Oreochromis niloticus: one gene and its partners. The main gene of each other region encodes a partner of the protein of the gene in region 3 in a complex. Links are inferred from orthologs where the notes say so. Each region holds a gene or a part of one and is shown on either strand. Other genes may lie near its edges. The genes, in order: sgf29, kat14, wdr5 and KAT8 regulatory NSL complex subunit 1.

What was found.
Region 1: wdr5 (region 3) and sgf29 share a complex: the UniProt entries of both Homo sapiens proteins name them as parts of the ADA2A-containing complex. The link is inferred for Oreochromis niloticus from reciprocal best matches to the Homo sapiens genes WDR5 and SGF29.
Region 2: wdr5 (region 3) and kat14 share a complex: the UniProt entries of both Homo sapiens proteins name them as parts of the ADA2A-containing complex. The link is inferred for Oreochromis niloticus from reciprocal best matches to the Homo sapiens genes WDR5 and KAT14.
Region 4: wdr5 (region 3) and KAT8 regulatory NSL complex subunit 1 share a complex: the UniProt entries of both Homo sapiens proteins name them as parts of the NSL complex. The link is inferred for Oreochromis niloticus from reciprocal best matches to the Homo sapiens genes WDR5 and KANSL1.

Annotation. Positions count from the first base shown.
Region 1 is NC_031969.2:33,667,780-33,675,657, reverse strand, and holds the start of sgf29 (SAGA-associated factor 29), read left to right. Parts: upstream 1-4,861; 5' UTR 4,862-5,005; intron 5,006-5,437; 5' UTR 5,438-5,445; coding exon 5,446-5,511; intron 5,512-5,593; coding exon 5,594-5,669; intron 5,670-5,744; coding exon 5,745-5,817; intron 5,818-6,236; coding exon 6,237-6,301; intron 6,302-6,377; coding exon 6,378-6,507; intron 6,508-6,861; coding exon 6,862-7,008; intron 7,009-7,093; coding exon 7,094-7,129; intron 7,130-7,723; coding exon 7,724-7,878. UniProt on the Homo sapiens protein: Chromatin reader component of some histone acetyltransferase (HAT) SAGA-type complexes like the TFTC-HAT, ATAC or STAGA complexes.
Region 2 is NC_031971.2:41,838,404-41,846,208, reverse strand, and holds the start of kat14 (cysteine-rich protein 2-binding protein), read right to left. Parts: upstream 3,243-7,805; 5' UTR 3,209-3,242; coding exon 2,950-3,208; intron 2,082-2,949; coding exon 1,960-2,081; intron 1,879-1,959; coding exon 1,757-1,878; intron 1,674-1,756; coding exon 1,501-1,673; intron 1,424-1,500; coding exon 989-1,423; intron 905-988; coding exon 315-904; intron 209-314; coding exon 75-208; intron 1-74. Other genes in the region: protein PET117 homolog, mitochondrial, read right to left, coding at 3,344-3,493, 4,396-4,491. UniProt on the Homo sapiens protein: Component of the ATAC complex, a complex with histone acetyltransferase activity on histones H3 and H4. May function as a scaffold for the ATAC complex to promote ATAC complex stability. Has also weak histone acetyltransferase activity toward histone H4.
Region 3 is NC_031972.2:29,231,015-29,238,747, reverse strand, and holds the start of wdr5 (WD repeat-containing protein 5), read left to right. Parts: upstream 1-4,510; 5' UTR 4,511-4,699; intron 4,700-6,284; 5' UTR 6,285-6,316; coding exon 6,317-6,394; intron 6,395-6,575; coding exon 6,576-6,684; intron 6,685-6,839; coding exon 6,840-6,913; intron 6,914-7,140; coding exon 7,141-7,230; intron 7,231-7,733. Other genes in the region: bromodomain-containing protein 3, read right to left, coding at 641-835.
Region 4 is NC_031973.2:4,610,755-4,619,052, forward strand, and holds the start of KAT8 regulatory NSL complex subunit 1, read left to right. Parts: upstream 1-5,183; 5' UTR 5,184-5,254; intron 5,255-6,958; 5' UTR 6,959-7,038; intron 7,039-8,298. UniProt on the Homo sapiens protein: Non-catalytic component of the NSL histone acetyltransferase complex, a multiprotein complex that mediates histone H4 acetylation at 'Lys-5'- and 'Lys-8' (H4K5ac and H4K8ac) at transcription start sites and promotes transcription initiation.

The DNA of each region.
Region 1 (7,878 bases), on a different chromosome or scaffold from region 3:
CTGGCTTATTCTCCCAATTCTTTTAATCTACTTTTCTGCTGCTGAACTCAAGGTTCCAACGTTGAGAGACGCCCACCTGTATTGACACACTAGAGCATACAATTAGTATTATATTCATTTTTTTATCTTAAAACCTCGATTTGCTTCATCTTCTTAGAATTTAACTCTGTCTATTTCTCTGGGTGCTCCCCTGACATCATCAGTCACACACACACCTTCCTCTTACACACACAGGAGCACAGTATTTCCTGTTTCTCTTTCCTGTTTCTACAAATTAATCAAACACTTGTTTTTTCATATTTACAGTCTACAAACCCTCTTTTAGTTTTACTAGGTCTTGGTCTAAAAACAATACACCCTCTTCTCACACACACACTTTTAAATATACTAAGTTTTTGCATTTTTGTCAGTTTTTGTCACATCATTCGCACAATACTTTCATAATCATCTCACACCCACTGCCTTTTCTCTCAAACTTCTCCCTTTTTCACTCACTCAGACAAATCATTCAGAGACATTCAAATCAAATACTGACAGCATTCACACAGTTAAAATCACTCAAAATACGCTTTCATACGAGTATCTTGGACATGCCTTCCATGATCAGAAAGAGCAAGTCAAAAAAAGAAAAAAGAAGACTGAAACCTCTCATCGTCTCACACACAACTTCTCACCACACACACATAACTGAAAAATAAAACACACCAGCCTTTATGGCTCAAAATATATACATCTATCAAAATTCAGTCACTTACTATACATCCACTACAGCAACTCAAAACTTTATTTATAACCCTCTAATAAACATAAATGGTGTCTTAAACACACGCATTCAACAATGTTTGCAGCAGTACTTGTGAAACCAACTGTGGTTTAAGCAGTTCACAGCTTCTTAATTTGCATTTTATTGCCTTCTAGGACATTCTAGTCTCTAATTCCTCTGTTTTCATGTTATCTCCGTTTTACACACACAAACACACACTCCCCCTAAAAACCCACAAAAAACTATCCCTAAAAACACACACAAGAGCCCTTAAGAAACTTCATTCATTTATTTATTATTATTTTAAACCCTTAAGATGTTGTGCTGTGTTTCCTCTGTGCCCGTTGCAACCTATATTAACATAAAGCCAAAATGTAAACAAGTCTGTCAAATCTAACTACTTATATGTTATTGGACTAAAAAACCACTTACAATCTTCTAAAGTCCTCCTTTGCCCAACAAACATCAAACGACTTACACCTATATGTATCACTCAAAGTCAACAATACATTAGGAACACCAAATGTAACTGTGTATATTATCTCAAACTGAAACGAAACCCATCTAAAAATCCTAAAACATCTTACTTGAACACACCAAAAGAGACATCACTTACAGACATATTTATTAATGAAATTATTTCAAAGTCAATTTCAGTTTTCAAACCCCAAATAACGGTCATAAGTATCAACATTTTATGTATCCTATCTCAAAACCCAGCAAACAGTCATACAGTCATGGCAAGAAATAAAAACTTTACTTACAATATTGTAATAAGCGTCTTAAACACAGCCATTCAGCAAGGTGTACGGTCTCTATCTAAACTTCCTAAAACTCTAGGGACCTTCCAGCTGCCTTATTTGCATTTTCACACACACACACAATCTAAAAATAATACCAGTCTGCTGCAGTGCCCGTGGCAGACAGAGCCTATATACAAACATAGAAATTATAACACAGAGACGTCTGATAAATTAATTAATATTTACAAGGCCTTAAATTGCATAACCTACCGAATTTAGACGAAATTTTAACTTAACCCTCCAAGGGACAAACTCCAAGTTTTTTGCGATCAATTAACCAGTATCGGCCCCGGACCGTGGTCACATATCTAATGCCCTAACACAATTTAAAAGCGTCAACCAACTCAACCCCTGCTGAAAAGCTCTATTTAGGGGCATTTCACATCCCAGGCTTCCCCGAAGTTTTAAGTTAAAGTTACACGCCCAAAACCCGGTTTCTATTGACCAAAAAAGTGCAAACCACCGCCCCGGACGGTAAACTGACCTAGTCAGTAGCTATTTTGGGCCGTCCCCAGTTGCCCACGATTGCCAATCGGACTATCCCTTCCCAAGGAAAATCCTGACCGTCGCCAGGAAATTTGGAGCGTCACCTCCGAACAATGCACTTCTCAGAATTCCCAGAATCCCGTACTACAAAAATTTAATTACTTTTGAAGACACCCCATAAAATTACACAAGCAATGTTATTGATGTCCAAGCCCGGCTTTATATTCAATTAAGACTTGACTGTCACAAACTCTTCGCCAATAACCTATAACTCTAAATTCAGTCTGCAGTTCAACTGCTTTAAATACACTTATTCTCTTTACTCTTTACTTATTTTCTCTTATTCTCTTTACTCTTTACTTATTTTCAACGTTTTATTATCATTACTTCAACTTCAATTCTCATGAGATTTTCACCAAAATCACAGCAGACATTTATCAGTAATTTCAGTGAGTAGACTTTTAATTTTGTCATAACCAATCCAGCACTGTTTGGAAATAATTCAACAGGTAGTGCCTTACCTTTGAATAAGCCGGCTTATGTCCACTCACTTCGACCACTGACTCGTGTCTGCCCGTTCGAGCGCCTCGGACCCTCTCGGTCTCAATCTCCAACTCTATGTCCTCAACCCTGGCCAATGCACCAAATGTTACGGGTCCGAAATTGAGGACGAGAGTAAAACAATGATGGTCCAAAAGAGGTCGATCAAACAATTGATTTTTAATGAATACACGCAGCGTGGGGAGACGTACACTGGAAACCATCAGTTGTAAATCCCCACCCAAAAATACACTTCAGATTGCTTTTATAACATCAGGGTATTATGACGCCCCCTCATGCGTTTACAAGCACATAATTTGCATCTTAAGAACATTATTTGCCTCTTCTACAGACAATGATCAATTTTAAGAGATAACTACAGAGACAAGAGTTCCCCTTTCTGGCATCCTTTTCCAAATATGGTGATGAGGTCCCCATGGACTTGTCCTCCTCTTTGGCCCATCTTCTGTCACCTGTTACTAGGCAAACTCAAATGCAACAAAAAGCTGAATACATTCAGGCCTTTGCTCAGCTACTATTTTACTGTAACAATATACTCAGCATATAAGCTTTTATGATTATAGATTTAACTCAACAATTTAAGTTGTTCTAACTGCACCTGTAATAAACATGTTAATATTTGATTATGATAACACCTGTAATACAAATTATAACATAATGCCAGCAACTTCAATAAATGCTTGGATGAAATGATAATTAATGCAATGATAAAGATGATGGTTATGTGAAATAATCCCTGTAATTCCACATTATCTGTCAGGTGTGTGCTGACCTTCTGACTGCTTCAGGGATCAATAAATAAAACCAATAACAGCTGGATTGCAGGTAGAGAGTCGCTGTGTTTATCTGTGGCGCTTTTCCTTTGAGTGTCTCCTGCACGTCGGCGCTCTGACCTCAGAGTGACGGGTCACCTCGCCACAGACGTTAATGATTAACTATCAGGATGTTTACCTGTAGAGTTGTTTCAGTGTCGGATGACACCAGCAGCACACGCCCGACAACAGGCTCCTCCTCCTCTCACCTGAGAGATAACCACCCATTTCTTCTAACAGAAAAACAACAGTCAGCAGGATTTTATTTTGAAAGGGACGCTATCAGACAGCAGGTTTAGAGAAGACCTGAAATCAGATTTCCTGCTTCAGAAGCGGTGACAGACTCTCTGTCCTCAGCCTGGAACAAGTTTATTCCTCTTTCATGGAGCTGATATCAAAGAACCAATCAGAGGCCTTCATCTGCTCGCACACTGAAATCTTAATGAACTGTATTTATGATCGATCAGTGATCGATGTGTGGACCTCACGTGTTCCTCTGAAACATTCACTGCAAGAATAAGAGTTTAATGAAGCTTCAGACCCAGAAATACCGATCAGCGATCAATCACTGCATCTGTCTATCACTGTAATCAATCGCAGTGATGGAGACAAACCCGAGGAAACTAAAAGCGTTGATGCTTTTAATGGAGGCTGCAGAGCGTGAACGTGTGCAGTTATCAAACACATGGATCACACGTCCACCAGAATCTGATCTTTATCTTCAGTTTACGGCTGAATCCTGGACTCCATCTTTATCATGAGACTGGAAACGATGACTTTTCCCCTGTTTGTCGTCCACAATGACTCACATTTCTCAGTCCAGGGGTTAAAATCCAGGCTCTGCTCTTCATTTACTCGTAGCCATGGTGAATCCTGGTATCAAGCTGGTCTGTTTTTTTAAAAAAAAATTCAGGTTTTTAACATGAAGGTGATCTGTGGAAGGTTTACCCCTCCTCTCGGGGGTAAACCATAAATCAAAAAAACATAAATCAAAATACAGGGTCAGGCTAGGAGAGAAGAAACTGGAATTCGTGACATTATAGTTGCAGGTTCACAAAAACACACACACACATTTTCTGTTTTATATTTCTTAAATATTTCTTTCTTGTAAATTTCCATTTTTAAACTCACTCTGTCTCCTTCTTCTTACCCCAGCGTATATCTTGACAAAGGATCACAAATTTCCTCCAAGGAAACACTAGATTACCACAGAGGCAACTGTAAACAGCACAGGTAACGGGAAAGCGACAAAATGTTTGTACACAAAAAAATAACACTATAGAGCTGGAAAAATCTTTAAAAAACCACAAAATAACTGCACACAAATAAATTACAGATAAATAATGAATGGCTACAAAGGGGTATAATAAAGTCATATAAGTACAAGAAAAAGAAATACAATTTTTAAAGCAAAATGTTTACGTTTTTAAGCGCCCCGTGTCTGCAGTACCACACTCCGCCCAGCTGGTGGCAGTGTGTTCACCGAAACTGCTGCACACAAATAGCACCAAAGAAGAAGAACAGAAGGCCAGTACCTGCGGTTCGTGAGTTGAGCGCAAATAATTGAAGAAAGTGGTTCGGTGAGGAGGTTTGGGGGCTGGTTTTGAGGGAAATATGACGCTTATTCCGATCAATGATCTATCTGAGTTGAATATATATCGCTAATGTTTTTCTTTATTTCAATTTTTAGCGTTACGAAGCATCTCCGAGCCGTTTTTGTCTGTAGCGAACTTTACATCAAACTCCGTTCAGAAATCATTTATTTAAGACATACCGTGTTTTCCAGGCCACATCCAGCACACATAGAGCATGACTTCAGTTATATTGCATACGAGTATTAATTCGGAACTTTATCTCCAGTATGTTATGACCGCGGTGATCGAAATGTTCAGACTATTTGTGGTTTGTGAAGTGTTCACCGTCATTTAAACCGCCTTAAAGTAGAAGTTTTTTAAATGAGGTTTTGTGTGTTGTAACTAAGCGCTGCTGTTTGATGCTCCACATCCTCACAGGTTAAATCATGTCCGCTGACCCCAAGATTGCGGAGCTGCTCACTGAGCTCCACCAGCTCATCAAACAGACACAGGTTAGTATTGATCCGCTTCCTTTGTGATTGATCAGGTCAAGCTTTGATCACATCCTAATTACCTGCACTCGGCCTGCTTCAGGAGGAGAGGTCACGCAGTGAACACAACCTGCTCAACATCCAGAAAACACACGAGAGGATGCAGACTGAGAACAAGAGTGAGTGTCAGCAGCTTTGAGCACATGTGCTGAATTTGTCTTGTGGTCCTAAACGTGGACGTGTGTCTCCTGCAGCTTCTCCGTACTACCGCACCAAGCTGAGGGGGCTGTACACCACGGCCAAGGCAGACGCTGAGGCGGAGTGCAGGTGAGAGGCCACTGAGCATGACCTTTAACCCTTAAAGATCATGGTGATGTCACTTATACGCTATACAGGAGACTTCCAGTCTCAAGCTTGTTACTGTTTTGTTTAAATAAAGGTTATAAAAATGAAAAAATAAAGGGGGACAGATGCATGAACACCATGACTGAAGCACAATAAGCAGTAATTTCCTCTGAGTACAGACTGAGACTCTGTGCTGTTGGAGCCTTTTTAATGACATCATGTGACCAGTAATATGGCTGCTGTGAGGTCACTGCACGAACAGGCGATCCAACAATCTGAGCTCCAGTTTCCGTTCATGTCGGGTTTCTAGCCTGTTCGTTTTCACATTTTTACTAAGAGTGTGAGGATGATCAGAGGGTGAAAATCACCTTTTTCTTCTTCTCTTGTGTCTTTTCTGTCAGCATTCTGCGTCACGCCCTCGATAAGATCGCAGAAATCAAGTCTTTGCTGGAGGAGCGGCGGATCGGTGCGTGTCCGGTATTCCGCCTCTCACATCTTCCTATTTCATGTGACACAAAACTCATCTGTCTGTCTGTCTGCAGCTGCAAAGATGGCGGGCGTTTACAGCGACAGTGACCCTCCCAGGAAGACGATGAGGCGCGGTGTCCTCATGACGCTCCTCCAGCAGTCGGCCATGACACTTCCTCTGTGGATCGGCAAGCCAGGGGAGAGGTAGGTGGTACTGCCCCAACGCTGGTGGCCACGATATTAGGCACTAGTGACGTCCCCACAACGCCATGGAAACACCTGATGGTGTTAAAGAGCAACTTTGTGTCCCCGCCCAGGCTTCCTGTGAGGTCACGTCTTTATTTCAGGCTTTTTATGCGTTTCTTTCACCATCACGTTAAACGGTGGCATCTTATCTTTAACAACGAGGACGTCACGTTTACGCTCCGAGTGTCTCTTCTGTTCCCGCCATGAGCAGCGAGCGGCACCGGCTATTGTTGGTAGCTTGTACCCGATGCTCAGGTGTGCTCCGGCTGACTTTCTGATGTGGCGTCCTCTCTGTGACTCCTCCCTCTCCAGCCCTCCTCCTCTGTGCGGGGCGACCCCTGCGAGCAGCGACTACGTGGCCAAACAGGGAGACAAGGTGGCGGCGAGGGTGAAGAGCGTGGAGGGCGACGAGCAGTGGATCCTGGCTGAGGTGGTCAGCTACAACCATTCCACCAACAAGTAAGAACACGTGACCGTTTGTGGCGACGCCTGCGTGGTGTAATGCGATCGTCAGCCTCTGACGCCTCCTCTGCTCCCCCTGCAGGTACGAAGTGGACGACATCGACGAGGAGGGCAAAGAGTGAGTTCTGCTTCGTTATGTTCTCTGACAGGAACAGCGTGAACGGCTTTCACGTTAAAGCTCGGACTGCAGCAAGTTTGTGAGCGAGGCCGGAGAACGACTCCCAGCTTTAGCGAGAAGCGAGCGTTTATAGGATTTTAAATCTGCTCTGGTTCTTTGTCCCTTCTCGGTGTTTTCCTTCTCCTGCTTTTCTTTATTTGCTCTTCTTAAATGTTTTTTTCCACCTTTTCCTCTTCGGCTTTCTTCTTACAGTCGTTCTCGTGCTGCAGATTTTCGTCCCTTCGCCTGTTTTTCGTTGACTTTCACGGTGAAATTTCCTCCATTTTCAGTTTCCATCGTTATTCATATCAGTGTACAGACGTTAAAATCAGAGGCTGGTTTATATGGGACGGTTTAAACCTGATTGCCACGCCTCTGACTCATTAATGAATGCAGTGATTGTGGGCGGGGCTCGTATGTTTCAGACCGCGAAACGTGTGTTGATCTTGTCACAGAGGAGTAAACTGTGCCGGGCTCTGTGGGAGAATCTCAGCAGCTTGTTCTCTGAAAGTGACAAATCTGCTCCTCCTTCTTCTTCTTCTTCTGTGCGAGCAGGCGGCACACGCTGAGCAGACGGCGGATCATCCCTCTGCCGCAGTGGAAAGCCAACCCGGAGACTGACCCTGAGGCGCTGTTCAGTAAGGACCAGCTGGTGCTGGCCCTTTACCCTCAGACCACCTGCTTCTACCGAGCGCTGATCCACACGCCGC
Region 2 (7,805 bases), on a different chromosome or scaffold from region 3:
GGTGTGGACCTCCACCTCGCAGGAAGCTCCGAGGACTCTCCGACCACAGGTGTGGCTCGGGCTCGGAGGTTTACCTGATGTACGGTTTGAGGAGGCGGGAGGTGTAGGGGCTCCTGATGGTCTGCTCCAGGCTTCCTTCAGCTCCCATCAGACGATGCCAGAAAGACACGGACGGCTGCTGGACGCCTCGTCTGCCGGAGACGCCGGTCTGTAAAACATGGACAGGTGAAGCGAACAGTGTGAACACTGCATCAGCTGCAGCGATTGGTGCACGTGGGCGTGTCACATGGACGGACAGGAAGTGTGTGCGTTACCTGGAAGCGATCGAGAATCCGCAGCTCCTGGCTGCTGGTACAGTATTTCCCTTTCACACCGCCGCCGATCTGTGATCCGGCCTCCTGGGCGCCATAGATTCCTCCCACCAGGCTGAGGGTGGCGCTGACCACTTGGTCGATGTCCAGCAGGGGGAGCCTCCTCTGTCGTTTTGCCTGGCGAACCAGCAACTTCCTGTGGAGGCGTTTAGCCTGCGGCGTGACGGCCAACGCGAGCGGGCAAGCGTCCAGCCGTCGCAGCAGCATCCTCTCCTCGTACAGACTGAGGGTGGCATAGCGAGGACTCTGGGCGTTGCCGGCAGCGCTGTCAGTGTTCTCTGGATGAGTCGTCCTTCTGCGCTCAGGTCCTCCGCCACCGCCGCCTGTGGACACCGGGGCGTCTTCACTTTGTCCTACGGGTTCTTCAAAGTCGCCCTCCCGCTCGCGGCCTTCGTCTTCCTCGCTCTCTGCTTCACGCTTGATGTGAGGCGGTGGCGGGCGGAGTTTCTTGCGGGTGCCCAGGTTGGCACTGGCAGGCGGGATGTACTCGGTTCCCGGGTCGATCATCCCCTCTGTTTCCATCTCCTCATCATCTGAGTTGGAGGAAGCAGAACGCGCCATCAGCGGTTACATCACATAAAACCACATGACCCTGCACCAATCAGGTGGTACCTCACCGTGGAACAATGCCTGTGGCGGCATGGCGTCAGGGATAAGGTCTGCCTCCGACAGCAGGCTGGGCGTCGCCGAATGCGAGGCTGGCGTTCCCGGGGCAGAAAAGTCAGGTGAAGGCGATGGCGTCGGGCTGGTGAGCGGCGTTCTGTCTGAGGAGCTGAGCGAAGAGAAGTCAATGACCTCACCCTTCTCCAGGACCAGATCTGGGCGCTGCCCACCACCCACACCACGGCCTCCACCCAGCTTGACGGGCGTGGAGGCGGCGCTACGGTCCGTGTATCCGCCCGCCGCTTCCTTCTGGGCCCGCCGGATATCTTTGGCCTCCTGAGTGCGTGAGCGTTTCTCCTTCAGCTGCATGGCGTTCTCCACGGGGTTCCGCGCCCCGCGTTTGCGCAGACCCTCCACGGTGATGATCGGGTCCAGCACGGGTTTGGACGCTGTGGGTAAACAGCGTCCAAGGTCAGAGGTCAACAAACACCGTCCACTTGGGCGCCAGCGTTCGATCACGGCTTACCTTTAGTCTTTGTCACGGATTTGTCCACTTCTGGTCGGAGGGTTGGAGGTCGGTTGTGGACCAGCTTCCACCAGCCGGGCTCACCGAACTCCTGCGCTCCAGAGCGGAAGAAGGCGGGGCTTCCGACCGACAGGCAGCCCGCTACCGTGCTCCACCAGGTTGATGTCTTCTTCCTGCAAAGAAGAGTGCAACACGAATGTGAGCGCCGGCACGTTATCGATAAAGACCAAAACTTTATTGTCTGTCTGCGATCGACCTCGAGCCCAGCAGGAAGTTCCAGTGTCGACCAATGAAAGCGCAGATGTCCTCTTTCCACCTGAAGTAGCCCTGCCGGCCCGTCCCCTCCAGAGACAGGTTGTACATGGCCAACATCACCACCTGCCACAGGAAGAAGCTGCCGTCAGCACGCCGAGTATTTGAGGTGTGTGTCTGTGTGTGTGGGCGGGGCTAAAGTCCTACCTGCTGCCAGGTGAGCCTCATCCTCTCGAAGCTCTCCTTGCCATCTTCGGAGCAATCGGAGCAGACGAATTTGAAGAAGTTGTCTCCCTTCAGGTAGCTCGGCTGCTCGCCGCGGAGCTGAGCTGCAGACGATCACAGGTACAGAGTCAGCTGCTGCTGCAGACCTGCTGGGGGTCTCCTAGGTTACCACCAGTGCCTGCTCTCAACTCATGAAGCTGCAGACGAGGAGCTGGACTAACAGCTTCCTGTCTGGCTCCACCCACACCACATCAGACCTCACCTTAACTCTCATACCTGCTTACATCACGGTCAGAGGTCACATTAAGGCTCATATCATGTGATCATCCATCGCATCATGTGACACTTAACTGAGAGCATGCTCACGCCGTGTTCTGGAGCCGGGCTAAAGGGCGTTCACGCACACTCAAGGAGGAGCTCGTACCTGAAGGTGGGGCCATGTGGAGGAAGCTGCCGCGCACAGAGGTGCAGATCTCGCTTTAGAGTTCAGCGGGTACGACTGTTGATTCACGTGACAGCTTTAATGAGTGCAACGTGAGACGGACCGGTCGGCACGCGGTGGGAGCGTCTGGATCACTTTTGTTCCCGCCATTTCGCTCTCAGCGTATTGTCCTACCGCGTAGCTACAACTGTGGTGTCGCCGGGAACCCACAGACTTGATTGCGTTGGGTTGTTATAGCAACGTGGCCGAGCATCCTGTGACGTCACTTGTGTGTGACATGAACGAGAACAAAGGAGGCGATGGCATTCCTCCTGCTCGGTCCGTGGCATTTTGTCAGACTCGTGGGCCGCAGGTTTCAATTTTCCCGAAAGACTCGCTCTCATGACTCACAGACTGGTGCACCTGACCAGCCAATCGGTGGCATGCGGTCTGCTGATGTCACATTTTCAGATTGCTCGGCAGCAGGTAGTGCCACCTACTGGAGAAGGTCGGTCACGTCAGAAACGGAGCGCTGCAATTGGCCAGCTCACCTGCGGGGATCCACTTGTGGCAGCGGTCGCAGTAGAAGGACATGTCCTCGCAGGCCCAGCCCCCGTCGGCGTCCTCACCCACGTCACTGGTCAGGGAGTCGCCACTCTGGTCATGTGACAGGTCCACGGAGCCCTGGTCCTCCGACTCAACAATCAGCAGCGTCTCGCCCTCCACCTCCCCCTCTTCCAGACCGTCCGACGCTGACGTGCAGGCCGCCTCGTCCTCCCCACCCACCAGCTGCTCGCCACTGCTGTCCATCCTCCTGCTTCAGGTACGGCACACCTGGGCAGGTGACCACTGCAGTCTACACAAGAGAAGAAACATTACAGTTGACCTGGTCGTAAGGAGACTTGGGGATGCAATAGGGTAGGTGCATGAGAGCATTTACCTTTTTCAGGTGTCCTGTGGGTGAAGCCTGGCCTCCCGGTTTCGTCTCTCCTCCGCCAGCTGTCGGGTCAGCAGCCGCTGCTCCTCCAGCAGCCGCAGGTTCTCCTTCCTGCGCTCGAGCCGTTCCAGATCCCTGACCACGCCCTCACGCAGGCGCTGCACGACAAACACAGTGACCACTCATCATTGATCAAGCTCTGAGGACATGTGAGCTCATCTCCACTGGTTCACTTACAGATCCTGCTTCTCACTCATTAATCCCTCAGTGCTCCGCCCCTCAGCACCTGTACACAGTCAGGTCTGCTTTCGGTCCCTTGTAACAGAATCCACACCTATGAGGGCTCGATGCTTTGGTGTGGAGTCTCTCCCATATGAGCTTCACAGCTGGACTGAAAACTCACCTCTGCCACACAAACTTACACCTTTGACCTTTTTGACTTGTGTTGCAAAGCGTTCTTGTGTTTCTTGTAAGGCGCTGGAGAAAGTGATTATTATTGATCACTGATTACTGAAACAGATGTCACAGGTGAGGTGCCCGAAGCTTTGTTCCCATGATGTGAACACCTTAAACCCAGGTGTGTGATTTTCTGTTTCTTTGTTTTATTTAACAGCAGGACTCGTGACCTCACAGAGGTCACCCGAGAGAAAACGCACCTCCAAAATAAAGGCAGACCTGTAAGCGTCACAGAATCCGAAATGAAACATCTGACGCCACTGCAGCTCTGTCAGTCACATGTTCTGCACTCACCTGAGCTAACGTTAACTCAGATAACGCCTGATTAGCTAACTGAGCCATAAATGTAAGGAATGACGATGATTATCATTGTTTACCAGCCATCTGAGTCTTTTATTTTGAAAAGTGTTGGAGGAAGCGGTTTTTGGCTGCTGTTTATCGTCATTATCGTGTTTATTTATTATTATTCTTTTAACGTCTGTGTGACGTCACCTGTGTCCGTTCAATTGCGTTTAACCACCACCTGTGCTTTAGCGTTAGCCTCGTTAGCCCCCGTGACCCGCTCCGGCACACGGAGGCTAGATGTCAGCCCGGCTCGGCTTACCTCTCTGTCCCAGGCCTGTTTGAGGTGCACCGCGGCCACGGTGCTCACGGTCAGAACCACGGACACTCCCAGGACCACCTTAGAGACCGCGGACATCACGCTGTCTCAGCTCCGGCTAACAGTGGCTAGCGGCGGCTAAGGTCTTCTTCTTCTTCTTCTACGCTCATCGGAGCTGCACCGCCCCCACCGGCCGGAGTGTGACACACACGCAGACTCGCGTCAAAGAATCAAAGGCCAAAAAGGCCAAAAATGTTCGTTTGTTTCTTCTTAACCTCCTAGGACCTGCCGTCCACATATGTGGACATCACATTTTTGGTTATTTTGACCAAAATACTCAATTTTGCTCTACATGGGCCTGATATCCACTTACAAGGACATTATACTGCTACTGTTCTATCAAAATTTTAAATGAATATCCTCATTTGTGGCTCTCATTTTTCTTAAAAACAAAAATAAGGTAAAAAAAAAAATCTGGAAATTCTTTGTTTTTACATTCATTGGGCCCCAATATGCCCAAATATCAAAGAGAAATTAAAAATGCATGTCGTGGAAGAGTTCGGGTCTTAGGAGGTTAAGGTGAAAACCAGGACCTCACCTGTCCTCCCTGCATCACACTCGCAGGGTGTGTTAGTGTGTTGTGAAGTATCTCCTGTCTCCTTTCCTCACTTCCTGCTGAGGACTTAGGAAAAGAGAAGAGAAGTGGAACGACCTCACACTCTTTCTCCTTAACGGTGTGAGGCCGGATGTCGTGGGCGTGAACTGCAGCGCTGTGAGGGAACCGTGATCACGGAGCTGAGCCTGCTAAAGCTGCGGTCCTGAACTACATATAAACTGTATAAAAGGGGCGTGGTCACAGCTGGAACATGCAAACATGGAGGGAGCATGCTCTTTGAACAGCTCCTCCTCCTCCGCCGTGCCTGAGTCAAAAGCTGTGAAAGTGGTAACATGACCATGCCGGGCACTTAGAACCTGAGCTGTCACACCTGAGGCCACCTTTAGCTAACATCGCCACGTCCTCCTCCTGCCTTGCATCCAGCTCAGAGTGAGTCCCAGGTACGTGACACTTAGTGAGGTAGTGACCTTTGAGACGGTCCTGAGAATCATTGACTCGACTGTCATTATGTGAGTCTTTGGAGTGGAAATGGCAGTTTATTCCACCTCTGAGGTGGAGCACCAACCATCGGCTGTTGATTAATGTCCACTCACACCTCCACCTGTGAAACAACTGAATTCAGCTCAGATCTTCTCACGCCTGATTGGCCGATCAGTCGGGCCAGTCAGCTCTGAGCATGCTCACCACAGGTATTATAGTTTTTACCCCTCAGCTGTAGAAGACGTCATCGACAGAGAGGTGAGGCAGGATGGAGCGGGTGGAGACGAGTATGACAGGAGAGCAGCAGGAGTGAAACTGAAGGTTTGGAGGTGGAGGCTAGGAGAGGAGGAGATGGAGTAAAATCTAAACTTCACATTTACGTTTAGGTATGTGAGTGAAGTTGGCCCCCCCACCTTCTTCAAATCCAACAAAAGTGGTACCAAACGTTTGTGCTACGTTTGTGCTGCAAACATTTTCGTTTGTGCTGCTATCATTTTAAAGATATTAATAAAAATTTCTACAGGTCATCAAAGTACAACCAGCCCCCCCACATTAATGGAATCCAACAAAAGTGGTATCAAACGTTTGTGCTGGTTTGTGCTGCTAAAATTGTCATTTGTGCTGCTTCTGTTTTAAAGATATTAATGAAAAGGTAAACATGAACAATGTGCTGGGGGGTTAGTTCCATGATTGTTAGTATGCAAATTCTTATGACCATTGATCAATGACAACTAATCAAAGCCTACTGATCAATGGCCATGAGTACCATTCACAGAAAGTGGGGAATGGCTACAATCACAGCATTGTAGGATGGCGAAAGATGTACCCTTGGGCCCCCCTTCTCGATTCAGAGATGGTCAGCATCCTGACAGCCCGATGGACGAAGCTGTCTCTCAGCCTGTGTGTTCTGGCCCGGAGGCTCTTCAGTATCCTTCGTGAGTAAACTGAAGACGCTGCTGAAGGGATGAGTGGAGTCACCTGTAATGGAGAGGACCTTCCAGATGAGGCAGGTGCAGCTGGTCTCACTACCCGTTGTTATTTTTTCCTGCAGAACCCAGTGCAGGAGTCATACCACACAGTGATGCAGCTGGTGAGGATACTCTCAACTGTGCCTCTGTAGAAGGTGCTCATAATGGGGGTTGAATCTCTTGTGCTTCTCAGTTTGCAGAGGAAGTAGAGTCGCTGTTGGTCTTCTCCACATTCAGGGACAGGTTGTTGTTGCTGTACCACTCTGCCAGATGGTTAACTTCACCCCTGTAGTAGATCTCATCGTGGGTCAGCAGAGTGAAGAGAAGGGGGCTCAACACACATCCTTGGGGAGCCCCCGTATTCAGTGTTCTTGGGCTGGAGGTGTTGCTGTCGAGCGTACTATCTGCTGTCTTCCTGTCAAGAAATCTGGCAGCCAGTTATACAGCAAGGTGCTGATCCCCAGCAGATCCGGTTTGTGAATGAGTTGCTGGGGAATGATGATGCTGAAGGCTGAACTGAAGTCTATGAACAGCACTCTGACATACGAGTCTCTAGTGTTCAGATGTGTGAGGGCTGAGTAAGGGGCAGTTGAAATTCCGTCATCGGTTGAGCGTTTTGACCGGTATGCGAACTCAAATGGATCCAGGTTGGGGGAAAGCAATAATTTGATTTGATGCATGACTAACCATTCAAAGCACTTCATAATGATGGAGGTGAGTTTGACAGGACGGTAGTCCTTAAAGCAGGAGGTAGATGACTTCTTGGGCACAGTAATGATGGTGGAGGCTTTGAGGCATGTGGGAACGGCGGCCTGACCCTAGTGATGTGTTAAAGATGTCTGTGAAAACATTTGTGAGTTCCACAGCATAGTCCGTCAGTGCTCATCCAAGGATGTTATCAGGACCTGGAGCTTTGCGTGTACTGATTTTGGCAAGGGATCTCCACACACTGTCTGGGGATTTGTTCCCCACGGTCTGCAGAGTGGGCTTGTAGTCTGTGATGGTTTGTATTCCTTGCCACTGCCTCCAAGTATCTCTACTGTTGCTGAAGCTTTGCTGTAGCTGATGCCACGTGACAGGTTTGCCCTTGCTGTTCTTAGGCTCACCTAATTCCCGGCTCTGAAGGCTTGCATTTTTCAACCTTAGGAGCATTTAAACCTGACCTGTGAGCCATGGTTTCTGATTGGCCCGGACAGTGATAGTCCTGGTGTCACGACCTGCAGGATCGGCAAGGTGCTGATCAGAATCTCTCCACTCCTAGCCCTCCTTCTCTTCTCTTTTTCCCTCTCTCTCCCCCTCTCTCCTTCTCTCCCCTGTTTTGCCGGAACTCATGGCGGCTTCACGCCCTC
Region 3 (7,733 bases):
TGTATTAAAATTTAGGATCAAGGACATGTCGGCAGGTTTGAGTCATTTCTTACTGAAGTATGGCTAAAACTAGGATAAGATGCAAGACAGAGTTACACTGCATTCCATTATCTCTATACTCACTGTGGTATGTGGGTTGTGCGTGAGAATTAGGAACAAAAATAAAAGGGAGGAAAAACAAAAAAATATCTTAGACAACATTAATATTAACAGTGAGAGAATAACAAAACGAAAAGAAGATCTAGTAGTTTCAGAAAAGAAGAACAGACAGAGCCAGCAGCACAAAGCAAGTTAGCGTATCTGAAAACTACAAAAAATATATCTATATATACCTAGGGGAAAAAACTGCTGGCAGCTACCAGTAAATGTATATTTAACAACAATGGCTAAATAGATCATATAACAGTATGATCATGCCCAGTTAACATCACTTTTGCATAAAGAACGGGGACATTGTGGAATTAAAAAATAAAAAATATTTTCATTATGAGCAAAACTATGACTTACTTGTGCAACTAACTGAAGAAAAGCCCTGCAATCCTGAGGCTGAAGTCATTTTTGTACCATGACTTGTGAAAAACCCATAAAAATGACTTGATGCACTGTAACCCTGTCAGCTGAACATGTGCAAACTACTCACTGGCAGTCCAAGAGCAACTGCATCGACAGGCTGGTAAAAAGGCCAGGCGAACTGGTGCCGCCACAGGGATTTGATCACTATGTTCTGCATATACTGCAGCTGGTTGGTCCTCCGGCCTGGCTTGTTGGGATTGGTCACCTCGGGAGGTGGGGGATTAACAAGCTGAGGAGGGTCCTGGTTGGTGTCTGCGGACATGGTGGCTGCACGAATTCTTCTGGGTTCTGTTATCTTCTGTAAGTCATGTAGTGTTCACCTGACAGCTTGTCACACACTGTGAAAACTATGCATGACGCAGGCTGGGGAATCGTCAAACCACACAATGTGGCCTGCTGACATAAAAGAATAGACTGTTATGATCATGTGGTTCTCCAAATATCAAATATAAAACTCTAAAAAGAGGAAGCGACTGATTACTTCACACCATTGATATAGTTTCAAAAACAGACTATATCTCATATCTTTTGAAGCTTATCACATTCATTTTATTATTATGTAAAACAATCTGATTAGTAATTAATGCACATGACTGTATAAAGGCTCTTTTCCTTGCATGCTGAAAGGAGGCAGTTGAGGCATTTCAGGCATCTAGTTAGAAAGGCTCCTGGGCATACCTAACTGGGAGGAGACCCTGGGGTAGACCCAGAACCTGCTGGAGAGATTATACATCTCATCTGACCTGGGAATGCCTTGGGACCCCCATGGGGAACTGGAAAGAGTGGCTGGGGAGAAGGATGTCTGAATACTGCAACCCGGCTTCAGATAAGCAGAAGACACGGAGGGTGTATAAAGGTTTAGTGGGCATGTGAACTGAGCAATGTTTTCTTGGCAAATACACTGACAAAATTTAAGAGGCTGTTTCACTGATGGTGTTGGAATCAGCTATGTTTATTTAGCTGTCTAGCAATCTGCCTGCAATTATTCTAATTTTAATATTTAGAGAAGGTGGAGAGATGGAGGTATGCATCGGATAGAAGAGGAATCAAAGTTAGTACAAGGATGCATGTGACAGTGAGGGTCAACCATTAAAAGCAAAGGACAGTGCACGAGAGAGGTGAAGAAGAAAGTGAAGATGGGGGAAGTGAGTGGAGACGAGTGTCACGGGTGATTTGTGACAGGAGGATAGCAGCAAAAGTGAAAGCGAAGGTTTAGAGGATGGGAGTGAGACGGGATATGAAGTATGGTTTGGAGCACTAACAAAAAGGCGGGAGGTCGAGCTGGAGGCGTTAAAGGTGAAGATCTAAGATTGTCATTAGGACTGACTAGAATGGACAAGATTAAAAATGAGTACATGAAAGGGTCAGCTTAGACTGAGGTTGCTACAAAGGATGATAAAGATGGAGCTGCTAGGTATGAAGAAAAGAGAAAGACAAAGGAAGAGATTCTTAGATGTAGTGAAGGAGAACATGGAGAGTGTTAGTGTGACAGAGGAGGGTGCTACGGATAGGGTGAAATGAAGGGAGATGACCCATTGTGGGGCCCCCTAAAGGGAGCAGCAGAAAGGAGCAGGTGATTTCGATTTTTTCTTATTTCAATTTTATTTGCAGTTCTAATGCATTTCAATTAATTTTGAGAGAGGCTTTGTTCATTTCAGTTTAGTTTTTAAATAGCTTACAAAACTTTATTTTTCAAATATTATTATATTTTGTTGGCCTAAGTTAACACATTATATTTCAAGACATATTATTGTGAACGCATCCTTTTCTCAATAAATAAAACCAAACTGGGGAAGACTAAATACATTTCATGTATTTAACTTCAAGTTTTAGTGAGGTGATATTACTTTTTATCCATTTTAACATTTAAATCTATTTTTCCTTTATTCCAGATCAAATGTTTCTTTAAATCTAATTTTATTTCGTTTGCTCATTTTACTAAACATCGCCACTGGAGAAGGCAGTAAGAGTTTGCATGATCTCAGACGCGGTATAAATCTCAACCCTAGCTCATGTAATATCATACCATTAAATACAAGTCAACTAATATAATGCTAACTTAACGGAGTAAGAAGGAAGAATTGGATTGTCAAGTTTTAAATGAGCACGACAGAGTTAAATAATCAGGAGGCCAGCTCTTGGGAAACCTAACCAGTCACGTTCAGCACGTTAGCTTCACTTGGCTAGCAGGTTAAGGTAAACCTATATGGGCGCATGGCCAATATAAGTCTTCACTGCAAATGAGCAATAAAAAACCCACCACAGTATCTTGTGCAGTGCCTACTGGGGTTTGTTTATTACAGTTGGGCCTTGCTCTGCCGCGGTTAACTTACCACTTACAAAGTTTTTATAGGGACGCCAGTCGCTGTTACCTGAACGCTCGCAATTACCTTCAGATAACGGCAACACATACATGTACCACATAACTTGTTTCGCAGAGGATGACGGGAGAGTCACGAGTGTTTACCAACACGTTTTTTCTTCTTATGAAGGTACTTTGAAATGATAGTTTCTATTTAAGACCGTTCACACCGCACCGAAGGCCAAACAGAGTAAAAAGTCGAGATACGGTAACTCCTGGCTGCGCTTAGACCAGCTGAAAACTTCCACACAAACCTGCTGCGGGCATGGCTTCAAGTAACAAGCTCCCCTTCGTCGAAGGCTTCTGTGACCAATTTTTTAGCCAAAGTTAACAGCGTATACCGCCGCCTGCTGTGTCGGAGGGTGTCGAGAATAAACCCAAAATGACCGAAAGTGTAATGATCCCAAGAGAGAAGAGCATTGATTTTCTTCTTCTTCTTCTTCTTCTTCCGGCTGCTCCCTTTAGGTGTCGCCACAGTGGATCATCAGCCTCCACCTAACCCTGCGTCTAGCTTCCTCCTCTGCCACACCAACCCTGCATGTCCTCCTTCACTACATCCATTAGCCTCTTCTGAGGTCTTCGTCTTTTCCTCCAGCTTGGCAACTCCATCTCCAACATCCTTTGTCCAGTATATCCACTACCCCTTCTCTACACACTGTTCAACTGTCTTCAAGCTGATCAACCTTGCTCTCAGGTACTCATTTCTAATCTTGTTCATTCTGGTAATTCACAATGAAAATCTCAGCATCTTCACATCTGCCATATCCGGCTCAACCTCCTGTCTTCTTATGAGCGCCGCCATCTCCAAACCATACATCATAGCAGGTCTCATTATGATCTTCTAAACCTTCCCTTTGACTTGTGCTGCTATCCTGATCCCACCATTGCCTGCACACTCCTCTTCACTTGTGCACTGATTTAAACTACCATTTAAACTCATCCACCTTCACTACCTTTATTCTTTGGATTTTCAATGTTACATGTGTTTCCTTCTCATTCACACATATTTAATATGTCTTGCTTCAAACGGACTTAAATGCTCATACAAATTTCCCACGTGTGGGACTAATAAAGGTTATCTTATCTTATCTTATCTTATACCTACACCTTTCCGGACTCTTTTCCACCTGCTCTATACTCTCTCTACAGCATAGTCCACAGAGATTCCCGCCTGATCTCATCAGTCAACCTGTCCATTACCACTGCAAATAAGAAGTGGTTTTGGAGCCAATCCCTGATATAATCCCACCCCTCCTTCAAATCCATCTGTCACTCCTATTGCACACCACACCACTGTCTTGTTGTCCTCCTAGATGTCCTCCACCACCTTAACATATTTCTTTGCCACATTTCATCTCTTGTACCCAATCATATGCCCCATATTCTCTAGAAACAATGGAACTCCTCCTGACCTTCTCTAAACGTCTTTATCAACAGTTGTTTAATACTGTTTTATAAAAATGGAAGATATAATAATGAATGACATGCAAAACTCTCTGTTTAATGGATTGTGGCAGTATGCGCGTAAACACGTTGGTTTGCGTCCCGTCGTGAAAACCAAAGAAGAAGAAGAGCGTAACACGCATGCGCAAAGCCACAGCACACCACATTCCCCGCTTCTCTTTCCCTACAGGCAATCATCCAAGAGCAAGTCACTTGCTGTATACGTTCTCCATGATCGTCTGAATACACATACATGGTGTTTTTTTACCCTTTCGTGTGTTTACGAGGAGTAACAATCTGACCGTGAAGCTCCATTAATCTGTGAGTATCGTCTTTATGACTGAATCCTCATTGTGTGAATGGAGGGCCCCTCCATGGCACCTCAGCCAGTTTGTCAACAGCACCAGTGCATTTCGAGCAGCGGCGGCTGCATCATCAAATACCCTTTAGCGTTTATATAAAACCACCAGTTTTAACGTGGCGTTATGATTGACGGTTAAACATCTGAATAGTGATATAACAGCGTAGCTAGCTGTCGTTCAAATACGATCATAGTCAAGAGTTGAATTTTTCCAGCCAAGGGAGTCCGTATCGCCCTTTGTTTGATATTCTCTTTTCTCGCACGTTTGTTCCATTTAAACGCGAATTCATGTTAATATATTGCAAACAGATGCCATCTAGTCTTAGCTGAATGCATATGCGTTTCTGTTTGGTGGTTTTAAGTAGCCACAACGAAGTAATGCAACGCTAGCTAGCTTAAGCTAGCTTAAATGGCTAAACTTGGAGCTAAATGAGAAAGCAGCAACACGAACAAGAAAAAATAGCTGCAGCCGGTACCAACTGGGTTAAATGCGGCGTTTAGCAAAAACTGCAGCTCATATGAGGGACATAAAACTAAAAGGAAACATCGTGAGCTAAACTGCTGTTAATGTAAAGTTAATGTACCAAGGTGGTTTCGTATATACTTTGTGCATTTTTGGCGTTATGCAATATATATCATTGTTGTCATGTGAGATGGAGAAAGAGGTTTGCCCTTTCATTGGATTTTAATACCACTATCAGACTAAATGTCGACTATATTCAGTCTAAAATTCGTTTCAACTTGACTGTCAAGGAATGTTGCAGTTAATGCAGGGATATATATATATCTATATCTATATATATATATGTGTGTATGTATGTATGTATGTATTTATAGGTCTACATTGACTAACTTTAATATCAGGATTTTAGAGACTAGAAAAAAATTGCATAGTCATCGTGTAAATAAATAAATAAACACAAACTAGAAAATTTCTGAAGAAATTTTGAGTGTGCCAGTGTATCTGCTGCTTGAAAACCTATCAGAAACTAAGAATAGCTTTTTCGAAGATGTAAGATTTATTGGGTGCATAAAATAGTTGATTTGAAAAAAGTTCAATGAAAAAACAGCTAGAAACATGTGTTGAATGGTCATTTTAATAGCGAACGAATTGTATTGTATAATGTGTCTTATTTTATTTTAGGCATAAACATTGACAGGCATTTACACAGTAGTAGTTATAAATCAAGTTAATGACGCAGTAGTGAAGTTTATAAATACAATCTTTTCTTTTATCACTTCAAAAAGTGGCTTTAGTATTTTTGAGTTTTTGTTTTGAAAGGGAAGTTTAATTTGGCTAAACTTATTTTAAACTAGTTGTTTGTCAGTCACCAAGTGTCTGAGCGTGAAAGAGACAGTTTGAAAAATGTAATCATATTATCCAGGCTGTCAGTGATATTGTTCATGCAAACCTCTTGAAAGGTTACTGAGGCTCGCTGTTATATGTGTTCATTGGTATTTATAACTGATATACTGATCATCACCAGTGGCATAAAGAATGTCTTCTTGTATTTATTTCAATATTTATTTTTTCCTCTGCTTTAGGATAGTACACAGTAAATGCTAATTTCCTCACCATGGCAACTGAAGACAAGAAACCAGAGACTGACACAAAACCTCCAGTAGCGCCGTCAGCATCTGCCAGCCAAAGCAAGGTTTGAATTTTTGGAGTATCACTATTCTGTTCCAGCTGTAGCCTTTTAGGGCCAAGAAATAGCCATAGTTGGGATTCATAAGAGAATGTATTTTGTTTAATATAGACTTAGATGAATGTTAGTGTATTTGTCACATCTCAGCCAAGAGTTGTTAAATGTCGTATTTCTTTTTCACTTACAGTCGGCACCTGCAAAGCCAAACTACAGCCTGAAGTTCACATTAGCGGGCCACACCAAAGCTGTGTCCTCTGTCAAATTCAGTCCGAGTGGAGAATGGCTCGCCAGCTCATGTGAGTAAAAATCACTGCTGGAAATACCAATTTTTTTTCACAACTTAATAATTATCAATAAATTATTGCAGCTTCTTGTTGAGTTTTAAGATTGATGATGTGTTTTGTTTTGTTTTTTTACCTATGCTGAGTGCGTATTCATTCTGTCTCTACAGCTGCTGATAAACTGATCAAAATCTGGGGCGCGTATGACGGCAAGTTTGAGAAAACCATATCTGGACACAAACTTGTGAGTTTGACTAATTCTCAGCTATACTCCTGCCGTGTTAATGGTTTTGTTTTTTATTGGCTGGACTTACGTAGAGCAACTGTAGCATCCTTGATGTTTAGTCAATTGGGATCAGATGTTTGGAGTCGTTACTAAGAGCCAAGCCATGGTTCCATTAGTTCTTACATTGGCCCCATGCTAGCTGTTCTCAGAGCTTCAAGTCCTGATCAGTTCCCATGAATCTGCAGGGTATATCTGATGTGGCCTGGTCCTCTGACTCCAACCTCCTGGTATCTGCATCAGATGACAAAACCCTGAAGATTTGGGACGTTAGCTCGGTAAGATGGGAGATTATTTAAATGATTCTGCTGAAATGTGTGATATAATACTGAACTCTGTTTGCTGCGCATACATTTTAGCAAGCTGCACAGGTATATTACCATCATAGAATATTTGACCAACAGTTTTGGTTATTTTTATTTTAGTTATCCAGGAGTAGGGAGTCTAGTGATGTTATCTGGCATGGGATCTTCTTTCTAGAAGAATTATAAAGATAAATAAGAAAAAGCATGATTGGCTGTGGCACATTTATGAGCATGATTTTGGATGAGTGATTGGCAGGTATCAGCGTGGCGATTGAAGAGTAGTGGCACTAACTACAACTATTAGGTTAGTTCATGTAAGTAATTGATTGTCATTTTTTTATATAAATGAAATGTGCACAGCACAAAAGAGTTGGAACATCTAAAAAACATTATTAAGGAAAAATATACAGTCCTATGAAAAACTCTTGAGCCATCCCATATTTGGAGCGAGACTTTCTTGTAATTTTTAAAAAGGT
Region 4 (8,298 bases), on a different chromosome or scaffold from region 3:
GTATTGAGATGAGCATTTGCATAATGTTCATCTTTGCACGGATGGAGCGGTCTGCTGTCTCATACCTAAATTACCTTCAGACTGAATCCACAGACACTGAGAAAACTAAAAATATCATTGAGAATAAGAACAAGAAAAACTTTCATATCTTCCCCCAAAGGGAAACGTCTCTGTTACTGCTTGAAAAATTGTGGAAACTGTTCTAAAATTAAATTAAAAAGAATCTAATTACAATTTACAAATTAAAATTCAGCAGAAAAAAGAGTACGACTGCTGAAATTGGACTTTCTGTGAGGAGTCTTTGACTGCTCCTCTGGGTGTGAGATGGATTTTGGTGCAGCATTTTTCAGTTCATTAGTATTATAGTTGAAAATATCCTTTTAATGAAGAATATGCTGCAGATATTAAACAATTTTGCTCAGCGGTCTGAGAAAAGTGATTATACAGAGTTAAATCTACCTAAAGAGGCGTTTAAAGGAAAAATGTGGGAATTTAATATTTTTTAGCTCAATAAATACTTAGAAACACATTTAAGTAAAGGATTATATCAAGCTGTTTTGTAGCTGAACGCACTTATAATTTTTCCTGTGGTTAACTATAACTGCAAACTGCTGTAAGTAAATGAAGATGCAGTTTTAATGACATAAAAATGTAACAGAACTGAATTTCATCCCCCTATACATGTTTAAGACTCGCCATGCATGCAGTCAGGCATTATATGCTTGGATGCTGATTATAAAAGCAAATTAAAAGTAGCACATTTGTGCATAGTGAATATCTGAGTGACAGTTTTACAGGGCCCAGCTTCAGTCAGGTGATGTGTGTGATGTCTCAGCGCCATCTAGTGTTGTTTCCCTATAACTACATTTACATGTTCCTATGAGGCCAACACATCAGATGAACCACCGATGGTAAAATGAGGTAAAGAAAATGAACTTTCCAGAGGATTAACTGAAATATGCTCCTCAGCCCAGAGCATTATGATAACGGTATCCTGAAGACTAATGGTGTTAATTCTCAGTTAACACTACTTAAGTTGGTGTTAATGCAGATAGACAGACACCCAAACCATTTAAATGTCAAAACAAAAACATTTTGTGACAGCCTCCTATTAGGTTTCCTGTTTCTATCACCAAGTGAAGAAACACTTGATTTCTTCAGCTGTTCTTCCTTTACTGAATTACTGTAACTTGCACTTTATGAAAATGATTTTTTTTTTTTTTTTGGTGGGTGGCTGTGGCTCAGGCCGTAGAGCTCATGGTTTGATTCCTGTATCCCTGTACCAAAGTATCCTTGGATGTAATACTGATACAAGTGAACCCCTGGGTGTGAATGTTAATGAGAAAAGCTTGTGTTAATGGGCGAATGAGGTCAGTTGTATAAATCACTTTGAGAACTTGAGTAGAATAGAAAATTGCTCTACAAGAACCAGCCCACTTACTAATACATTATTTGGAGGAACATATTTTTATTAAACAGGCTTATTTATGTGACCCATTTAAATCAAACTGGACTTTATGCACTTGTTTGTTTTATTACTGGCTAAAGCAGTCTGGTAGACCACCACTGTTCTCTGTATGCAGCCACTAAACGGTCATTCCTGTACGTCTATATGTAAACCTTAGACTGATTTAAAATCAGTACAGCACTCACACATACGAGTTTATTTATTGATCTGATGATAAAGTTTTACTGAAGTTTCTTTATTTGTTTATCTGTTTTAACCCTGTTGAAATGATGTTAACACTGTATTTATCTGATTGTTTAAGTTTATAGTTGTTATAATCTCAGCTGCCCTCTTGTCGGCATATCTTTTGAAAAATCTACTGCACAAATAAAGGATGTGATAAATAATAATAAGTAAAACATGAACTTCTTGTGCCACTGTACATAATCTAAAAGTGCGTATGTGAAGCTGGGTGGAAGGATGAGCTGAAATGAAGGTGGAAAGGTTGCAGAAAAGACAAAGAAAAGGAAGAATTGAGAAAACTGAAAAGGTGAAAAAGATAAAAACAATGATAATGCAGCTGGAAAATGTGAGCATGTCATGTGAATAATAAAGTGTTTTCATAGTGCAGTGAAGTCCACGTAAGGTCCTGTTTAAAATTTGGTGGATGATTTCAAGAAATTTGACTGCCCTGTAATATATCCAGGCTGTCAAACATCCAACACGGGGCTCAGAACAGGCCCTCTTCTTCTTCTTCTTCTTCTTCTTCTCCTTCTTCTTCTTCTTCTTTCAGGTATTTCCTTTAGGAATCACCACAGCAGATCCTCTGCTTACATCCCACCCTATCCCTACCATCGTCCTCTGTGACCTTTCTTCATGTCTTCCTTCACAACATCCATTAACATCCCTTGAGGTCTTCCTCTTCTCCTCCTGCCTGGCAGCTCTATCTTCAACATCCTTTCTCCACTATATCCACTCTCCATCCTCTGCACATGTCCAGCCCTTCTCAGCCTTGGCTCTCTAACGTTGTCTTGAACTGCTCGACCTGAGCTGTCCCTCTGATGTACTCATTACTAATCTTGTCCATCCTGCTCACTCTCGAAGAAAATCTTAACATCAGCTCGGCCTCCAGTCTTTTTGTCAGTGCCACTGTCTCCAAACTATGCATCGCTGCTTGTCTTGCTACCATGTTGTAAACATTCCCTTTCACTCTTGCTCCTTCTGGCACAAATCACCCCTAACACCCATCCTCCACCCAACCCACCCTGCCTGCACTCTCCTCGTCACCTCCCTTGTGCTTTAGATGGTTGACCTCAGGTATTTAAACTTATTCACCATCACTACCTCTGCTTCCAGCAACTGCACTGTTACACCTGTCTCTCACTCATTCACCCAGTGAAGCTCCTTCTGACCTTCTCTATACTTCTCCATCATCACCTTTCTTCTTAACTTAGCTTCATCAACTCTTTCCTGTATCTTCATGGTATGGTTCATCAACTTCCTCCCTCTGCAGGTCCTACAGCTCTGCACATCGCCCTTGTTTTTAAAAATCAGTACCAGTACGCTCATCCTCATTCCTTAAACATCCTGGTTAAAATGTCCACTGCCCTCTCTCCTAGACATCCCCATACCTACAGAAGTATGTCATCTGGACCAGCCACCTTTCCAATCTTCATCCTTTTCATGCCTGCCAAAACTGGACCACTGAATGGCTTTCCACTACTACTTAAGTGTCAAAATTTATGGGAAGTCAAAAGTGTTTCTAGATGTAGACACGTTTTTTGAGTCATAAAGACATCAAGTAGTGTTGTATTCATTCTAAAGTTTAATGTATGTCTCCATGTGATGACAGCAAACTCAGTGAATGCTCAGCTGAAATTGCACCTTTTCATTTGTTACAAGAAAAAAAAATTAACAAGAAAATAATGCCTGGTAATATTATGTCAAATTTTCAAGGGAGAAGGGTAAAGGAGGTCTTGCACTCTGGTCAGGATTCCAGCTTCTTAAATTTGGACAGGTGCACTTTTTTATTAAAGGATTTTCTGGGTCAGGCCCACAGTTTTGGTCTGTAGGGAGTTAATTTTTACCCTCATGCTGTAGATGTATTTGGTTTCAGAATAACAGACGCATCTCATAGATGTGTAGATAAGTGAAGCATGTGTGTCCCTGAAGTTTTGACCACATGACCATCAATGAGCACACAATATTCCAGATATTTCTCTTTTACCAACAACAGTGAGGTCGAGCACTGATGTTGGCTAAGGTCTGCCTCACATTCGGAGCCAGATTATTAATTTACTGGCTTGAATAGAAATTCATATTTAAATTCAGTGCAGTGTAAGAGGCGTAGAAGATAGCCATATATCAATTCAGCAGCTGAGGAATGAAAAGCCTTGGCAATGCGAAAAGCCTCAAATACCTCCTCAAAAGATGCATTTTTCTAAATGTAAATGGTGACATTTGAATTAAAAAAAAAGAGGAGAAAAGGATGCTTACAAAGTTCATACAGTGCAGTGGTTAAACATGTGGCCCAGGGGCCAGAACCAGCTGCCAAATGGTCCCACTGGTCCCACTGTGAATTCATTAACAACTGCAGTTTTTCAGTAAAATGTGGTGATGCTCGCCTGACTACACAGAAATGAAAATGCATGAAAAGGTACGTTTTTCAAGTTGTTTGAACCACAAAACTGTAAAATACTGAAGCAGTATACTTACAAAAACTCCAGATGTGAAGTTTTTTCCAAGGTGATTTGCAAATTGTAACGCACATGTAATTACACTGTACTCACTGAATGCGGAGTAACTTGGATATATTTTTATTTTTGCATTTATTCTTTTAAAAATTGCCTTTTGTGGTTGTTTTTAATAGAGTGGGGTATGGGGACCTGCTTAACTCTTATGGTTTCAGCTTTTTAAAATCTTGCCCAGGTGACTGCGCTCAAAGTCTGCTTCTTCACGCTTAAAGAAAGGGGAAACTTGTCAGTGGTTTTACTGGTCTGGCTCGCTTGAGATCAAACTGGGCTGCATGTGGCTGCTGGGCTAAGATGAGTTTGACACCCCTGCTCTAAATGTTGAAAAGGCTTCACCCTCAGCCAGGCCTCTGCTCCTGAGTCATTTTCACTCCCCCTGCACGTACCTGAGAAAGGTCAGATTTAAGCTTTACTGACACAGCCCCACAGTTTGTCCCTCTGCAATGCTAACCGCTGGATTTTCATGCAGCCAGCACAATGCTGCCTCACTGACTTATATATCCACCCATCCTGTCTCCGTTGCCTGCAAGTAAGCATCAGCAGCTTCAAGTGAATCTCCATTCTTGTGAGGGATTTACCCGCTATTGTGCCTTTCACCGGTGAAATATCACCCCGCCAGCTCTTATCTGCTTAAAAATACGATGCAACAGAATATAGTAAACAAACTCATGCGCTGCCATTAGCTTTATGTTTGCGGTTTTTTATTGTGCAGTGAAAACCAGTGGCTCATTTCTAAGCAGTAGTCCCCAAAAACAAAGCATCAAAATGGGAGACAGTGTAGTTAATTTGAGTGAGAACAGTCGTGTAATGGCGCAGTAAAAGGTGTGCTCCATAAATGACGGGTAAGTTGTGAAACATTTTCAAATAAAAACAATATATTTTGGGATAATGAAGTTTCATGCTATGAACTTTCGTCCACATTTCCGCTGTACGGGCATTTGCAAAGACTGACATCTGCAGGAGCCAATAGAAAGCCTCGAACTGGACTCTCGACCAATAGCAGCGCAGGGGGGGCTGGTATTATGGAGTCGTAAACGGTTAGTAACAGGACAAGCAGGTAAGTAAGATTTTGTCTTGTTATTTTCTTAAAATAAATGAACGCTCCGCTTGGCAGGAAAAAAACACACATTCCGTTAAGCCCCCGGTTGTTTGGCTTGAGCTGGCGGAGTTTTTAAGCGCACTTTTCTGCTAAACGTGCAGCAGTCATTGAGAAGTCAGAGTGGGATCGGGAAGCAAACAAGCTAGCGAGCGTTAGCATCTCTTGCTAGCTCAGCTGGCTGCTATCTGGCAGCCTGGGAGTTCCAAACATTAGCCTGTTAGCTCCGCAACTGGAGAAACTACTGTTTGATTATGGCATAAATCTCCAGTGGCGCATTCCTTCACACAGCGTTCAGTGATGGAGCCGCTTTTTTGTAAACTTACGTTTAAATTTCTACACCGCTGTGCTGACATTAGGCGACATTTAAAACTTTTTCATTATAAAAATTTGCAACGATAACGTTAGTGGATGTTAGCTTTAGCTAGCGTTAGCGTGGCAGCAGGACATTCAGATAAATAAATAAATAATAAATAAAAATAAACAGCTGGGGAGACGCTACTTAAGACCGAGTCCTAGAAAAAAAATAGGGGGGTGGGCGAAGAGGGTATAATTCAGAAAAAAACGCTCAAATTCCGAGATGTAAGTCGCGCATTAACGAGAAAAATAGGAGAAATAGTGTTTATTTTTAGTCAATGAGCGACTTTGCTTCACTTTTGAACATTAAGCTTGAAAAAAAAATCAGAAATTTGAACTCCTTGTAATAAAAGACCAATAACACCTCCTTCCAAGTATGTTGTTAAGGCAGACAACAAGCTACAAACTCATATTCACTACGCTGCAGCGCAGGTCTACGTGCAGCAGGCGATGGGAGGAGTGCACGGACCCTCAACAGTGTACAGCACTGAAAAACGTCATGTATACATACATACGTCCTGCTTCGCTCTCATACAGTGCCAATTTTATATCTATTTGTTTTTTTACTTACACTGCGCCTTGTTTTTCATATAATTCTGGCATTGTTTTCATTTTTCCGTTTTGTTTGTTTGTTACATTTTTTTTTAATTGTCCCAGATTTGCAAATTAATCCTAATTCTCCGTTGCTTTTCTATTAAACTTTCTACAGGTTTTTTTTGTGAATATCCCTTTTTTCCTTCTTTAATTTGCATTTTTTTCCCCTCAGAAATTAGCCACACGTTTGTTGTGTAAATTAGCTGTTCTTTGTGTTAAATTGCCCCAAATTTTAAGGGTTGTTCTGTCCATTTTTTACTGGGCAATTTTCCAAAGTTCCACAGTTTTTTCCCCTGTAAGTTTGCCATTTTTTTCCTCAAAATTTTGCCCCATTTTTTTTCTCGTTAATTTACAACTTTTTTTAGTTAGTGTAATGTGCTGATATCGATTGATTTATGGAATTTTTTTTGCCAGTTCCAATTTTCTTTCTCTATAGCATCAGGATTGGCATTTAGCATAAGAACTGAAGTAAAATAAAAAGTAAAATCTGCCAAATCAACAACATGGCCCAACAAGGGCCTTGTGAATAAGGGAGCAGCTATAACTTGCAACATGTACAAACAAAAAATTCCACAAGAGTTAGAGGCTCGTACATCACCTAACCCTGTATCTTTTCCTACTACGCCGTCATAGTTAAATGTATTGTCTGAAATTTTTAAATACGATTCAAGTGATCTTATTTTTTGTTTGTTTGTTTGTTTTGTTTCATTTTAGGTGTCATGTTTTCATGTGTGGAAACCGGAAAAATGATCCCTTGGATTATTGAATGGAGTTCATCGACAATGGAGTTAAAGGTATAATTGTTATATGCATTTATCTTTATTTTAAAGCCAGGGGGTGCTGCAGCCACCCTATGGCTTTGGAGATAAGATCACATCAGGGATATAAGTAGCCTGGATTTTGAGGACCCGAGTGAAGAGCATCTGATTAGGATACTCTGTGGACATGTCCCTGTGGATGTATTTTGGTCAAGTGGGATGGATTACATATCCCTGGAAGTGTGGGAATCCCTTGAAGTTTGCAGGGATCGCCTAGGAGGAGCACAAGGAAGTTGAGACATCTTTGCATCAGCTGTAACGTGGAGCAGGACCAAATGGATGGATGGGTATTTGCCAGTTATGACAGTCACAGATCGGCCAGTTTGTTTTGTTTTAGTGATGTTTTTAGTTCACGTCCCATGAAGACCTGCGGAGGTCATTTTAGGTTAAGACAAAGCAACAACAAAAGGAAGAAGTAATATTAGGAGGTGAAAATCACACTTTTAAAAGTGGTAAATAAATAGGAAATGGCAATCACATTTCCAAGAAAAAAATGCAGAAATTCTCAGAAATGAAACTAGTGACAGGACCGGTTGACTGAAAAAGTTAGGCTTGTAAAAAGTGTAATATTCTTATAAAAACAACAAACATTTTTTGAAAATGATATTCTTTATTATAAAAGAAAAAAAAATTCAGAAATGATCAGAGATTAAAGCCAATCTAAAATTACAGATTTTCCATCTAAATTTATCACTATAACCATTAAAATTCAGTTATATTTGTTAAAAATGTATTCTCTCTGCAACACTCCATTATTTCCTCCTTAATTTTCTGAACAATCGCTCTCTTCCTCCCTCTGATTTACACAGACACACAGATAATGAAGTGTTTGCAATGCATGTCCTTTCTGGTAGTCTGATCATGCTCAGAGACCAGCAAGACCTGTTAGAATAAGTGAGGTGCATTCATCTTATTACTTAACAAGCATCAGGAGATCAGAGTTACTGAAACAATCTAAAATCACATATTTTTCCATTTTCATTTATTAATGGGTTTAAATGGCAGTGAGACAAGAGAAGATATAATGTAACTTTGTAAACATCTCAGCTCAGTTTCCCAGACATCGATTGGAGCCGTTTCTAGACGAAAACACTTCTCAGTAGAGAACTACGTTGAATTTCTCTTTTAGTGTGGGAAAATGGCTGTCAGTGTGCAACGAGTCGTTTATAGGATTATCTTCTGGTGCACAGGATGTTATTAAAAGTTGTTTATTTAAATGTCAAAGAAGATAAACCA